Linked DNA regions of Nothobranchius furzeri. The main gene of each other region encodes a partner of the protein of the gene in region 2 in a complex. Links are inferred from orthologs where the notes say so. Each region holds a gene or a part of one and is shown on either strand. Other genes may lie near its edges.

Region 1 (4,439 bases), on a different chromosome or scaffold from region 2:
ACCACACCCATCCGTGTCACACTGAGTAGTGCTACGAGAAGCTCCCATAAGTCGATTTGACACAATTCATGTGAAACGACTCAGCACATTAAGAAGAAATAGCAAGCCCACATCTGGTTTTTAAACATCATCACAGAAGAATGTATTTGATCTTCCATTATTTCATTTATCAATTAACTGAACATGAAAAGACAATGCAGTTCATCAGTGATTTTTCCATATTATACATATTTTTATTACTCTGCTGACATTGAAGGGTTGAAATGCGGTTTAGACAGTCACTCTTTTCAGAAAAACAAACCAACAGAATCAAAAAAGTGTTAGCGTTCATCTCATAATTATTAGGAATTATTATTAAACACCGTAAGCATCTGAACATAAAATATTGTACTGATCCATAAGGAGCTATTGTGAGAGCTGCTGTAGCCTAAAGCTACTGTTCCTTTAGGAAGTGAATGCTGGAGATGTGAGCGTATCTCAGAAGTTTATTGGACTTCTATGAACTACAGTTAACGGCACAACGTCATTCCTTCTGGAGTTTTTTTAATTCTGCACATGTTACAGTAATAAGTGATTATCTTAAATTAGCTCACACAAAGCTTCAGGTGCTCAGGTCAATAAGAACGCTCTTAAAAATACGTGGCTGCACAAACCAGAGACAGTGTCACGGAGAAGTTGATTTTACGTTGGCAAGTTGAGACAGGAAGCACGTATCTCAGTTAAAGGGGCATTATGGAAGTTTGACAGCCAAAACATGTATAGAAATATTATTTTTCTTCTTCATACATTCTCCTGCAATGCCCTGGTCCTGTAGAATGAGCCCTGGCATTTTTACTGTGATTGCCTGTTTTTCTGTAAAATCACAGAAAAAGAGAGATGCTCGGGTCGAGCAGGCTGCTTCATGCGTGTTCACGCTCAGGCATCGCCCGTAGCATTTGCTATTAGTAGCTTTAGCAGCAGAGAGAGAGGTAGTGCCAACTCAGCGACTTTGTCGCTGTTCCTAACGCCTAGTGACAAACCTAGCTACATTTCTGAGGACCCTTAGCTACTTTCTGTAGAACTTTCTTCTAGATATTTCCTGCAAATTAGTAACAAAATAGTCATTTTCGCTCCGAACCGTTCTTTGGTTTGACATTGTTTCAGCTGTCATCAAGAATTTAAATGTTACAGATACGTTTCATTTTGGAACAATTTTTCAAGCAAGGGAAGGGAATGATCTGAGCATGCAGGAGGACTGACCCATCTTAAACCTTTGTTGGCTGTGCTGAAGAGAAAGGTACAGAACCAAAGTATTTAATTAATTAGCTGTGCGTTCTCCTGTCCTCTGTCCTCTGGGCCACACACACACACACACACACACACTCACACACACACACACACACACACACACACACACACACACACACACACACACACACACACGGTACTGTCTCAGCTGTTATTTTCTTTAAGGAGTGTGCACGTACAGCATGCACACCTCGTGCACGAGCCTACAATAGAAGCTGCCGTTACGTTTTTGGCCTGAGGGGGCAATCGTGAGCATAAAAATTTAAAAGTCCGAAAAGTCCCTTTAAAATAGCCCCAACATGCTACCACTTTCAATGCGCAGTGGGCAGCACCTGGTTTTCGCTGAAAGAGATAAGGACAGCAGGTAAACTATGATGTAATCAATGTAACCATGGTTTTTACCGACGAGAGACACCCATGGAAATATACAATGTGATGCAGCCATCAGTTGTAACCGATGTACCCGAAGCTACCAGTGCAGTCACGTCGCTAATGTTATGAACGAACCACCGGGTCAGATCGGTGAATCTCTCCATCTCTAGATCACACCACTACTTTTAAATTTGGCTTCTCAGTGCACTGGCTCTTTCCTCTAATGCATGGTGCATTCTGGTAGTTTCATTAGCCACATATCAGTCAACTTCTCCAAAAACACTGAATAAATATGCCTGTCTGCAGATAAAAAAATGTCCTGAATGCTGAAGCAACCAGTAGCCAAGCAGTGACCGACTATCACAGATGTCGCGTCTTCGTCCCAGCTCGGTGCACTTGGAATAATTTTCAGTAGTGACCATGGACTGGATACTAATGGAAACGCAGTCCAAACAAACCGAATCAACGTGAGTCGTGCTGAGTATCGACTAATTGAATCACAGCTTTAGATTCAGAGCCGTGTAGCTGCCCTGTTCTGTGTACACTTGTATAAAGGATGGTGGATAGAACACAGAGACTTTTAGAGATGACTTGGTTTGGTTGAGATAAATGTTGTCAGATCTGAAAGTAAGTAAATGTGATGATTCCTGAACTCGCCATCCATTGTGCTGCCTTCATGACTCACCACTTCCTGTTTCAGTCTTTACCTTCTTCTTGTCGTTTTATTTATCCGTCTCAACAAACACAAGGAACCACTTTATTTGTTAGGAGACACCATCAGCCTGATAAAACAGTGAAACAAAGCAATACTCACTGTTCGCTGTCACGGTGGAGGTTTGGAGGAAAAACAGGAAGAAGCTGAAGAGTTGTGGATGAATTGCGTCCATGTCTCCGTCCTCTCTGTGTGAACTGGCCTTCATGTCTCTGTTCTCTGCTTATCTGCTTGCTGTTACGGCTGTGGTGGACTTTCACCCATCATAAAAAGGTGCACTTCTGATTGCCGAGAAACCATATGAGATCTTTTTCTGGGACTGACTGCCTTTAATTTGTGTCTTTTGACTTGAGCCATCTCACCCCAGCATGCTTACACATTTGTGATGATTAACACAGCTGATGATGTCGTAAATTGATCAGTTCTTAAATTTTTTACACAGGTATGTCCTTTGCTTTACACTCTCGTTATCGATAGGTCTTCTTTCCTGATTTGAGTTTATGGTTGACAACAGAGTGAAAACACAAACTAATAAACCAGGAGACAGCCTTCAGAGCCTGAAAGAGACACCAACGAGGAAGTGACAGCATCATTTTTATGTGTGTCATATAATCATAATGCTGAGTTTTTCTACCTGTGGAATTTGTTTGCTTAATTCAATTCAATTCAATTTTATTTCTATAGCGCCTAATCACGACAAGAGTCATCTCAAGGCACTTCACATAATAAACATTCCAATTCAGGTCAGTTCATTAAGCTAATCAGAAAACAATGTTTCCTATATAAGGAACCCAGCAAATTGCATCAAGTCACTGACTAGTGTCAGTGACTTTACATCAATCCTCATACTAAGCAAGCATATAGCGACAGTGGAGAGGAAAACTCCCTTTTAACAGGAAGAAACCTCCAGAGAATCCTGGCTCAGTATAAGCAGCCATCCTCCACGACTCACTGGGGATGGAGAAGATAGAGCAGACACACACACACACACACACACACACACACACACACACACACACACACACACACACACACACACACACACACACACCAAGCAATGTGTCCATGGTTACACCGTGATTACTTAGTAAATATTCTATTTGGCGAGAGATAAACGTTATTGTATTTATCCTAGTGAATCTATTGTTAAAAGGGTAAACCAGCAGTAGCACATCCAATGTCAAGGAAACAAAAAGTAATTGTCAGGAGAGGGAAAAAGTTTAAGTGGTTAGCAGCAGTGTGCTAGACGATGGCCCCCTCCATGAGGCCACCACAGCTCAGCAGAACATCATTGTAGCTTCTTCTGGGGAGAAAAATACTTAGAGAAAAAATAAAGTTAATAGCTGAAGTAGCAGGAAATAACAGTTAAAGAGCAGATTGTAGAATAAAGTAGTAGAGTGTGAAAAGTGGTCAGTGTATCCTCCAGCAGTCTAAGCCTATAGCAGCATAACTACAGAGATAACTCTGGATAACCTAGCCTTTTTAGATGGAGGCATATTAGAGGCAGGGCAAGGGAGAGCTGTCTTTACCGACTGTACACTCCACCTCCCTGTACTCCCCCACTTTTCCAGATCAGACGCGGCGCCAGGCAGTAGCTTGGTGTTGCTATAGCAACCACAAGATTTGACCAAGCAACTGCTTAGCAACCCTGATTATGTTGTAACAAAGATTGTATAAAGTTTTTACATTAAATAATTTAAAATATATATATTTAATCTAACATAAAAAGTGGTAGTTTTACTTATAGTTTTGGAGAACAAATTTCTTGGAAAAACAAAAAAAGACGTGCCTCACTGGTGCTATCGCGAGACTTCGATTTGACCCCATGCTTTTAGAAGCACTGAGATTTGTCTTGCTAGCGCATAGCTATTACAAAGCAGCCTGATGCAAACATGGACAAATATCTTATTCCACCCAAACGACCGCGATTATCAACGGAGACGGATGATGCAGCTACTTCCACCATTGAAAAGGACCACGCCACGGATTTTAACAGCAGCGAGGATCCACGGGTCGAGGATGAATGTGATGAGCACAGAGGAGAACAGGTGCCCGCGCTGTGTGAAGA
Region 2 (4,445 bases):
ATTCTCTAAGGCTTTCAAACATATCAATAAAACTGTTTTCCTACACTGAAAGCCAAAACATGTTTTTAGAGAGTAACTTTCACAGCGATTACAGCAGACGGCAGACTGAAAATACGTTTTTGTTTTGAATTCAGTAGAATATGACAAACAGCAGCTCGTGCCATTCTACTCACAGTTGCTGTAATCTTAAGCCGATAAAAGGTACTCAGCGAGGTGTAATTGAGACGTCCCTTTAGCTTCACTTCACCATTAAACTGGCCAATCTCAAACAGATCCGATCCCTGAGTTGGTGTTACCTGGAAAAACACAACCATGAAACTTTGCACAATATCAGAACATAATAATGGTTCTAAATGAAATTGCTCACAGTGGAGTTTACCTCTGTGATGCGGTATGTGATGGGATTTCCATCGAGATCAGTGGCAGAGACTTTAAACAGATTGCTACCAATGGGTGCATTCTGAAATAAAAATGAAACAAATGCTAAAAATATTTAAAAAAAACACCCAGATAACGCAAATCCATTTCACTGAGCTTTAAAAATGGGCTACATGGTTAGAATATGTTAACAAAAAAGCTCAACTGCATCACTAATAAGAAACTTTTTTATATGATTTACTCACTTCTGGGACTGATATGTCATAGTTAGACTGGCTAAACAAAGGTATGTTGTCATTGGTGTCGTCTAGTATTATAATTAATGTTGCGGAAACCTGAAAGACATGTTTAAAATAAATGTGATTAATACTATAAAGAATAACTGGTAGTAACGGGAGGGGAACTTACGGGAGTGGTGCCATCAGAGACGGTAGCGTCCAGTGTGAGGGTAAAACTAGCCTAGAAGAGATGAAGTCATGCAACTTGTGAATATTCAACCAAAAATATGCTGTTTTATTCCCCCCTGTAAAGATTTCCTCATGACTAACACATCATACCTCTGTATCAAGAGGAGTTTTTACTGTGACTCTTCCAGTGTTTACTTCAACCTCAAAAAATGCAGCACTGACCCCGGAGATCGAGTAGGTCAGTGGGTCATTTTCTGGGTCTGTGGCATTTATAACAAATGCAAGTTCCCCTATACAAACAAAACCAATTTAACGTCTAGAAAAGGGGATTCACAATTGGTAGCACATGAAAGTTGACATTTTCAGTAGTCAGTTAGATGTATGTACCAACTGGGGTGTCTTCACACACGTGATGAACTTGACTGTTGAACGTGGGACTAAAATTGGCTGTAAAACAGAGAATATTAACATTAGATGGTGATGCAAAAAAATTTTTCACAAAAACTAAAATAAATGAAATGGTCACCTTTGACCGAGCTGACAAGGAGCAGTAGTATCCATCCTGTGAGCGCCATGTCTGAAACAACAGCCGCTAGAACGTTTAAAATTAAACGAGTCGGTAAAGAAAGGATACGGAGTGTAGCTTCATCTTGACTTTATGATGCCAAAGATGAAAAGCGGGCGTGTACAACCTCACACATCTGGAACAACAGACGTGTTGGGAACGACCCTCAGCTCCTAACACATCACATTTTAGCTCTAATTAGTTTACCAAATGGAGTTGAAGCCATCTTCTGTTTGCAGATGTTGCTTAAATGTGGACCATTAATGAGTTTAACTCCAGAAGTTAATCAGATGTAGCTGAACATCCAATTATGATTCTAACACACACTCCTGCTATCCAACAACAAAATGGCCGCGCTACATTTTCCTTTGACTTACGGAACTCTGGCACATTTAAGCACTTTGAAACCGAGAAACAGAAGAAAGAACGAATCCCAGCTTCTAAATCTGCAAACAAGCCAAGGAACATGCTTTTCTTTTCCTTAATGGAGTAAAGACTGACTACAGTTACAGTATAAATATATACCGTGTTACTGATATCTGTGTATTGTTCATACTATCTGGCACAGCAGGCTAATAAGTTTATTATAGGGTTTGAATAGAAATCAGCACAACTCCTGTCTCCCACAAACACAATCTTCTATTACTGTAAGCACATACAGATAAAGAAATCTTGAGGGCCAAAGAGCAACCTCCGGGTTCCAAAACCGATGAGTGATGTCACTCCGACCATAACCTTCACTTCATGCCCATTGCTTGTAACAACCAAGATCACCTGCCCTGATTACGAAAGTTAAAACTGGATAACAAATTGAATGTCTGACCACACCGAAACAATCGACAGGTGAAAAGTGGGTCATTTCCTTTTAGCTTAGATGTACAGAGAAGAGATGATTTACCTGAGAATGAGTTTGGTTATAGGTGATTGGCAGAAAAAGCTGTATAAGTAACAGGATTTAAAATAATTTCTTCTGATGAATATTTGCCTTACAGAAGTCCCCTCCACCACACACACACACACACACACACACACACACAGGAATGAAATGAGAGGAATTTGACTTTCTCATTTGAGCTTTAAGAGCTAAATGTTGGTATTTTTAGTAGTTACGTTAATAAAACTGAATCATTAATGGAGTTGTGTTTTCTACATAGCTACTGTTGTCACTTTAATATACAAATAACATTTACTTTTCTAAAATCAGTTGTTGTTTAAATATGAGCTTTGTTCTGTAAATGTCTGAATCTTTTAAGAATTAGTGGCGGAATCAGAAATCCCTCGTTTCCTTAAAAACATTTAAAACGACAAATAGGAGCTTTGATCATGACAGCTGGTCGCTGAGGTGTTGGTAATTCAGAAAAACACAAAACAGCTGGAAGTGCCTTGCTCATTTGTTCAAGTCTGATTTAAACAGCAAATCTCAGTATCCACAAGACTGAGCATGTTAACGCAGTAACACCATTTTAAGTGGTTTGACACAGAGAAGGTAGCCTTACCTGGTGACCATCACAGACGGCTTCCTTATTCTGATTAGTGGGTAAGACCTTTGGCTCTTGTATCTCTGTGTCGTTATCACGTCAGCGTTGTAAACATAAATCATTAACAAACAACCAGCACCACCACTCTGAACGTCTCCCTGAAAAATAAACTCCCATCAAATAGAAAAAGTTCTAATTGTCTCTCTCAGCTGATTCTCGGTGAAGGACCCCAGTCCTGTGGCTTTGTGCCATTCTTGGTCTGAACCACAACCACAGAAGGCAGCTCGCTTCCCCTGAGTAAATTTGATGGAACCAGGGACCGTTAAAAACATTTCCAACCAATCGGTGGATTGGAGTCTTGTTTAGAAACCACAGATCCATCCCATAATGAGCCAGAGTTTCAGCATTGTCTCCTCTAATTAATGAGCCTCACACAAAGGATTGTGCTCTGGTATTCACCCTTAATCAGACATTCGCCTCCAAACGAAGTCAGACAGATCCTCTCAGCAGGAAAAGGGGGAATATTCAAAGTAGGAAAATACAGTTGGAAAAAGCTAAAGAAAGAGATCAGATGAAAAAAATAATCATTCAGGAAATTTTCAGAACAAACATTTAGACTGGGGGAATGAAAATTAGTTAGAGCACGTGGAAAACAAACAGAAGTGTGACTGAAATCCTTGTACAGGACAGTGTTCCCCTAAGCAAACTGTTTTGTTAATATGTTAGCAAGTATAAATACCATAAACTAACAATGTAGATGTACTGACTGTCTAACACGCTCTACAAATTGTTCACGTAAGGCTATGCAGAACGAACGTGGCACCTTTGCCTCCGGTTTGGATTTGGTATCAGATGAGAAACGTTTGTGCGGAGAACAACAAACTGAGTTGTTTGGAGAGAAACTTTTAAGAAATATATCATAAATAAATAAAATGTGTCAATCCAGAAAGTGATGACAGCCTTTCTGCTGCCTGGTTTTTCCAACAGGACTTTGGTTTATTGCTTACAATTTTGAACACAACGCCGCCTCTCTGAGCCAGCAGTAAGAGTATAAAAGGGTGGGAACATTATAAAATCCTTCTCAGACAGTCCCAGTAAATAGAAACATCATAATAAAAAAAGTCAATCTAATGTGATAAGCCAAATATTATCAGGGTCAACCATGGTGATGGAGCTCCACGCAGAAAAGATCATCAGTCGTAAAATGAAAAGGCAAAAAGAGTAAATCACAAGTGGTTATGAGATGAGGATGACAACTAACTTATTAAAAACCATGAAAAATAACAGGTAACATGACAAAGTAAGTTTAAGTACTAACACTACAGTCACATCCTTAGTTTTCTGTCTATGACAGGTACAGGTGTGTGTACGATTATCAGTTTTATTGCTTTGGACCTTTGCTTTCAGCCAGCTTGTTTCTCATCCTTCCAGTCCGCTGTCCCTGACTCCCTCAAGCAGATTACACAAAGCAACAACAACTTCCTTCTGTTTCTGTTTAAGGTTATAAATAATTGTTACCTTACCAGCTGTAGATAACTTCTTGAACAGCCTCAGTTTGGAGAAGATAAGTTTACACCCAGTGATGTATTAGCAGGGCTGTATGGTGGCCCTCTGATG
Region 3 (4,100 bases), on a different chromosome or scaffold from region 2:
TAGATAAAGCAAAAGAGACAAAAACAACAGAAGAGTAATCGATTGTAAATGAGAATCAAACATTAAAGGCTGAATATGGAACATGGACACTCTGGTGTTCAGAGGTGGTATTGCAACAATAGGACAAATTTTCCAGCAGCTGGGATGTTGGTTCACTGCTGACACGTTTCAGCACCCTGTTCCAGTAGATGTAAACATAAAGCCAGTGTCATGCCCAACAAAATAAAAATTTGATTATGCATTTTTTAAATATAGCTTTTAAAGGAGAAACTGTACATTCATCCTGCACCTCTAAACGCCCTGTGGGGGTATTATTTAAAAAATAAGAAAAGTGTTCCATATTTTAACTTTAAAGTTTAGCTCAACAACGTGTCTTTTGCAGCTCAAAACAGATGCAGAGGAGAAAGGAATGAAAACGAAGTAGGCCTTATTATAGATGTCGAGAAAACCTTGCAAAAACGATAAAACAAAGATTATTATTGTTGTCAGTTAGTAAAATTAATTTTTGTATGAACAAAATAACTTTCATCATGTTTTTTCCAACTCTGATATATATTAATAATGTTTTCTTCTTTGTAGTTAACATTATCTGTGCAAAAATGTGTATTTGAATAAAAACAAAAAAGTGTTTATATGCAAAGGAAATGATAAATATTGTATTTGAGCTCACAACAGATAGACTTTTACAGCACCATCAGTGGTTAAGTCAGATCGATACTGTTCAAGGTTTAAAATATATATTTTTTTTCAATGAAGGTTGGATAGATTGATTGAAAACAATAATATTTTAAACCATGAACAATATGGATTTAGGACAAAACATCTAACTTCAATGGCAATAATGGCATTAACAGAAAGCCATCAGTAACACTCGCTATAGAGAGCCATGTAACCCTTTATTTATGTTTATGTTTATTTATTTGGCAGACGTACAAAGTGACGTACAATGTTTCAACCTATAGGGCATGTTGTGATCTGTGGGGGAAGCTCACGCATGCATGGGGAGAGCATGCAACTCCACGCAGAAAGTCTACAACCGAGTTTCGAACCCTTAGTTATTATAACTTTTTTTGCTGATAAACTGAAAAAAATGAGTGTCTAATCATGCTGTAGACATGTGTAGTCAATAATTAGGCACTTTAGTGCATCTTAATTCAAATTTAAAAATTCTGCCAAACTGTCAGTATTGCGCCATCTTCAGGTAAAAACTCAGCACTGCATGTGTATTTTAATCTGCTGTCGTTATTGGCTTAGAGGTACCCTATGACATCAGCTGGTACCATGTGATGTTACAATGCCATTGTGAGCCTGTGTGTGTGTGTGTGTGTGTGTTTGTTAGCGGCTTCGCCCTCAGGCAACGGCATTTGTTGCATTTTCAAACAGGAAGTGGGAGTGGAGTAAGACTCTGGTAGGGGGTGACTTGCTCTTTAATGTATTTTAAAAAGGTGTCAAATTAAATGTATTAAGAAATTATATAAATATGAATTAAGATGGTGTCTGCAAAGTGAGTGTGCAAGTTGAATTTGTTGAGGGGGATGAATTTTATGTTGCTTTAGTAAAAAAAAATAAGATTTTTTTCTTCTCTCTGTTCCTTTTCATTCTTTGTTTTTTTCTGTGTGTGTTGTTGTAAATATTCCATGTTTTTGTTCTTATTTTCGTCTTGTTCTTTGAAATAAATAAATAAATAAATAATAAAAAAAAGTAGACACACGTTGGTTAAACACGTCTCCATGTATTTAATCTGAGTGTTTATCATTAAGAGCGCTGGCAACATGCTTGTGCTTTGCTGATCAAACTATTTTATTTATAAATGAATGGGAAATATAGTTATTTATTTATTCATTTATTATTATTCTTTACTTTTCGATAACCTTCAAAAAGCAGTCTCTTCACAAATCTCCCTTTGTGTTGTGTAATATAAAAGTAAAATAAAAACCACAATATTATTGTGTTATAACATAATAAGTGTGTTAAAATCAGTGGTTTACAGAATGAGCTGTTGCTATTGAGCTGTTAAACTGGAAGGCCTTTAATGGTTTTCCTTCCTGTTGGAGCCATAAAAGCTTTAATCGCTACAGGAGTTTATTATGAAGCCCAGATCTGACTGGTTCTGATAAAAAGACTTAACTTCTGATTTAGGTCATGTATCAAACATATTCTCTGGGTCTCAGGCTAGATTTTAACCAGTCCTTTGTTGCTGTTAATGGAGCCAAGGTGGGGGTACTGGGGGATAGATGGCTGAATGAAAGGCTCTTTTGTTTTACAGAACAAATAAAAAATTTTGGCTCTGCTCAAAGGAGAATGTGGAAGAAAGATGGAAAACATCAACCGGTGTAAATAAAGTCCCATAAAAATCAATTGAATGAAAAAGAAGCCATAAAACACCTTCTACGGTAACGCTGACCTTTGCTCCTTTGCTGTTATTTATGACTTATTGTTAATCTTAATTTAATTCTCTAGGGAGGAATAATTCATTTGTGAATAGCAGTGATCATAATAACAGACAGAGTTCTGATCCACAAACAGCCTGATTTCAGACTAATCCTGGTTGGATAATAGAAAGTAACTTACTCTCTGCTGCATATGAGCTGAAGAGCGTTGACGTGTCCATGAAAAGCAGCCAGTAGGGTGGGAGTCATCCCATCATCATCTGCGGTGTTCAGGTGCTTCCTTGTTGCCTCCTTCAAGAGGTCCAAGTTACCATCGATCGCTGCCTTGTGGTACCTCGACATCTTTCAAATGAATGTGTTGCTGCCTCCTCTGACCACAGAATTGGAACAGCGATGGCTGACCCGAGCAAACAAAGTGATCACTGGGCGTGTGAGCAGCTGAGCTATAAAACAAAGTCCAGCTTGATGTCGTCAGTTCCTGCTTTAACTATCATCCCTGAAAGCACAAGTATCACAACAGACATGTGACCAGTTAAAGAGGATACCAGTTTAAAAGTTTCCTACATAAGGAACCCAGCAAATTGCATCGAGTCACTAACTAGTGTCAGTGACTTTACAGCAATCCTCATACTAAGCAAGCATTTAGCGACAGTGGAGAGGAAAACTCCCTTTTAACAGGAAGAAACCTCCAGAGGATCCTGGCTCAGAATAAGCAGCCATCCACCACGACTCACTGGGGCTGGAGAAGACAGAGCACACACACACACACACACACACACACACACACACACACACACACACACACACACACACACACACACACACACACACACACACACACACACACACACACACACACACACACACACACACACACACACACACACACACACACACACACACACACACACACACACACACACACACACACCACACAACATATATACCAAGTAGTGTTTCTATGGTTACATTGTGATTTCTTAGTAAATATTCTATTTGGTGAGAGATAAACTTTATTGTATTTATCCTAGTGAATCTATAATTAAATGGGTAAACTAGTAGTAGCACATTCAATGTCAAAGAAAGTTAAATTGTATTATCAGGAGAGGGAGAATGTTTAAGTGGTTAGCAACAGTGTTCAAGCCAATGGCCCCCTCCATGAGGCCACCACAGCTCAGCAGAACATCATTCTAGCTTCTTCTGGGGAGAAAAACACTTAGAGAAAAAACATAAACAGCTGAAATAGCAGAAAGTAATACAGTTAAAGAGCAAATTGTAGAAGAAAGTTGTAGAGTGTAGAAAGTGGTCAGTGTGTCCTCCAGCAGTCTAAGCCTATAGCAGCATAACTACAGAGATAACTCTGGATAACCTAGCCTTTTAGGTGGAAGCATGTTGGAGGCAGGGCAAGGGAGAGTCGTTTTTACCGACTGTACACTCCACCTCCCTCTACTCCCTCACTTGTCCAGATTTGGGCTAACATCAGATTTTAACCATAGACCCTATCAAATAATTTAAGTCCAGTCTTAAAAGTAGACAAGGTGTCTGCCTCATGGACTAAAGCTGGGAGCTGGTTCCACAGGAGAGGAGCCTGATAGCTAAAAGAACTTTCTCCCATCCTATTTTTAGATATTCTGGGAACCACCAGCAAACTTGCAGTCTGAGAGTGAAGTGTTCGGTTAGGAACATATGGAATAATCAGGTCACTTATGG

Evidence for each region.
Region 1: cdhr2 (region 2) and cdhr5b share a complex: the UniProt entries of both Homo sapiens proteins name them as parts of the IMAC/intermicrovillar adhesion complex. The link is inferred for Nothobranchius furzeri from reciprocal best matches to the Homo sapiens genes CDHR2 and CDHR5.
Region 3: cdhr2 (region 2) and anks4b share a complex: the UniProt entries of both Homo sapiens proteins name them as parts of the IMAC/intermicrovillar adhesion complex. The link is inferred for Nothobranchius furzeri from reciprocal best matches to the Homo sapiens genes CDHR2 and ANKS4B.

The regions. Positions count from the first base shown.
Region 1 is NC_091754.1:42,611,959-42,616,397, reverse strand, and holds the start of cdhr5b (cadherin-related family member 5), read right to left. Parts: upstream 2,832-4,439; 5' UTR 2,580-2,831; coding exon 2,474-2,579; intron 1-2,473. UniProt on the Homo sapiens protein: Intermicrovillar adhesion molecule that forms, via its extracellular domain, calcium-dependent heterophilic complexes with CDHR2 on adjacent microvilli. Thereby, controls the packing of microvilli at the apical membrane of epithelial cells.
Region 2 is NC_091742.1:44,952,977-44,957,421, forward strand, and holds the start of cdhr2 (cadherin-related family member 2), read right to left. Parts: upstream 2,914-4,445; 5' UTR 2,847-2,913; intron 1,496-2,846; exon of another isoform or gene 1,478-1,495; intron 1,378-1,477; exon of another isoform or gene 1,363-1,377; 5' UTR 1,361-1,362; coding exon 1,312-1,360; intron 1,233-1,311; coding exon 1,173-1,232; intron 1,076-1,172; coding exon 936-1,075; intron 838-935; coding exon 787-837; intron 714-786; coding exon 624-713; intron 461-623; coding exon 380-460; intron 297-379; coding exon 174-296; intron 1-173. UniProt on the Homo sapiens protein: Intermicrovillar adhesion molecule that forms, via its extracellular domain, calcium-dependent heterophilic complexes with CDHR5 on adjacent microvilli. Thereby, controls the packing of microvilli at the apical membrane of epithelial cells.
Region 3 is NC_091752.1:56,799,700-56,803,799, reverse strand, and holds the start of anks4b (ankyrin repeat and SAM domain-containing protein 4B), read right to left. Parts: upstream 2,964-4,100; 5' UTR 2,733-2,963; coding exon 2,572-2,732; intron 1-2,571. UniProt on the Homo sapiens protein: As part of the intermicrovillar adhesion complex/IMAC plays a role in epithelial brush border differentiation, controlling microvilli organization and length. Plays a role in assembly of the complex.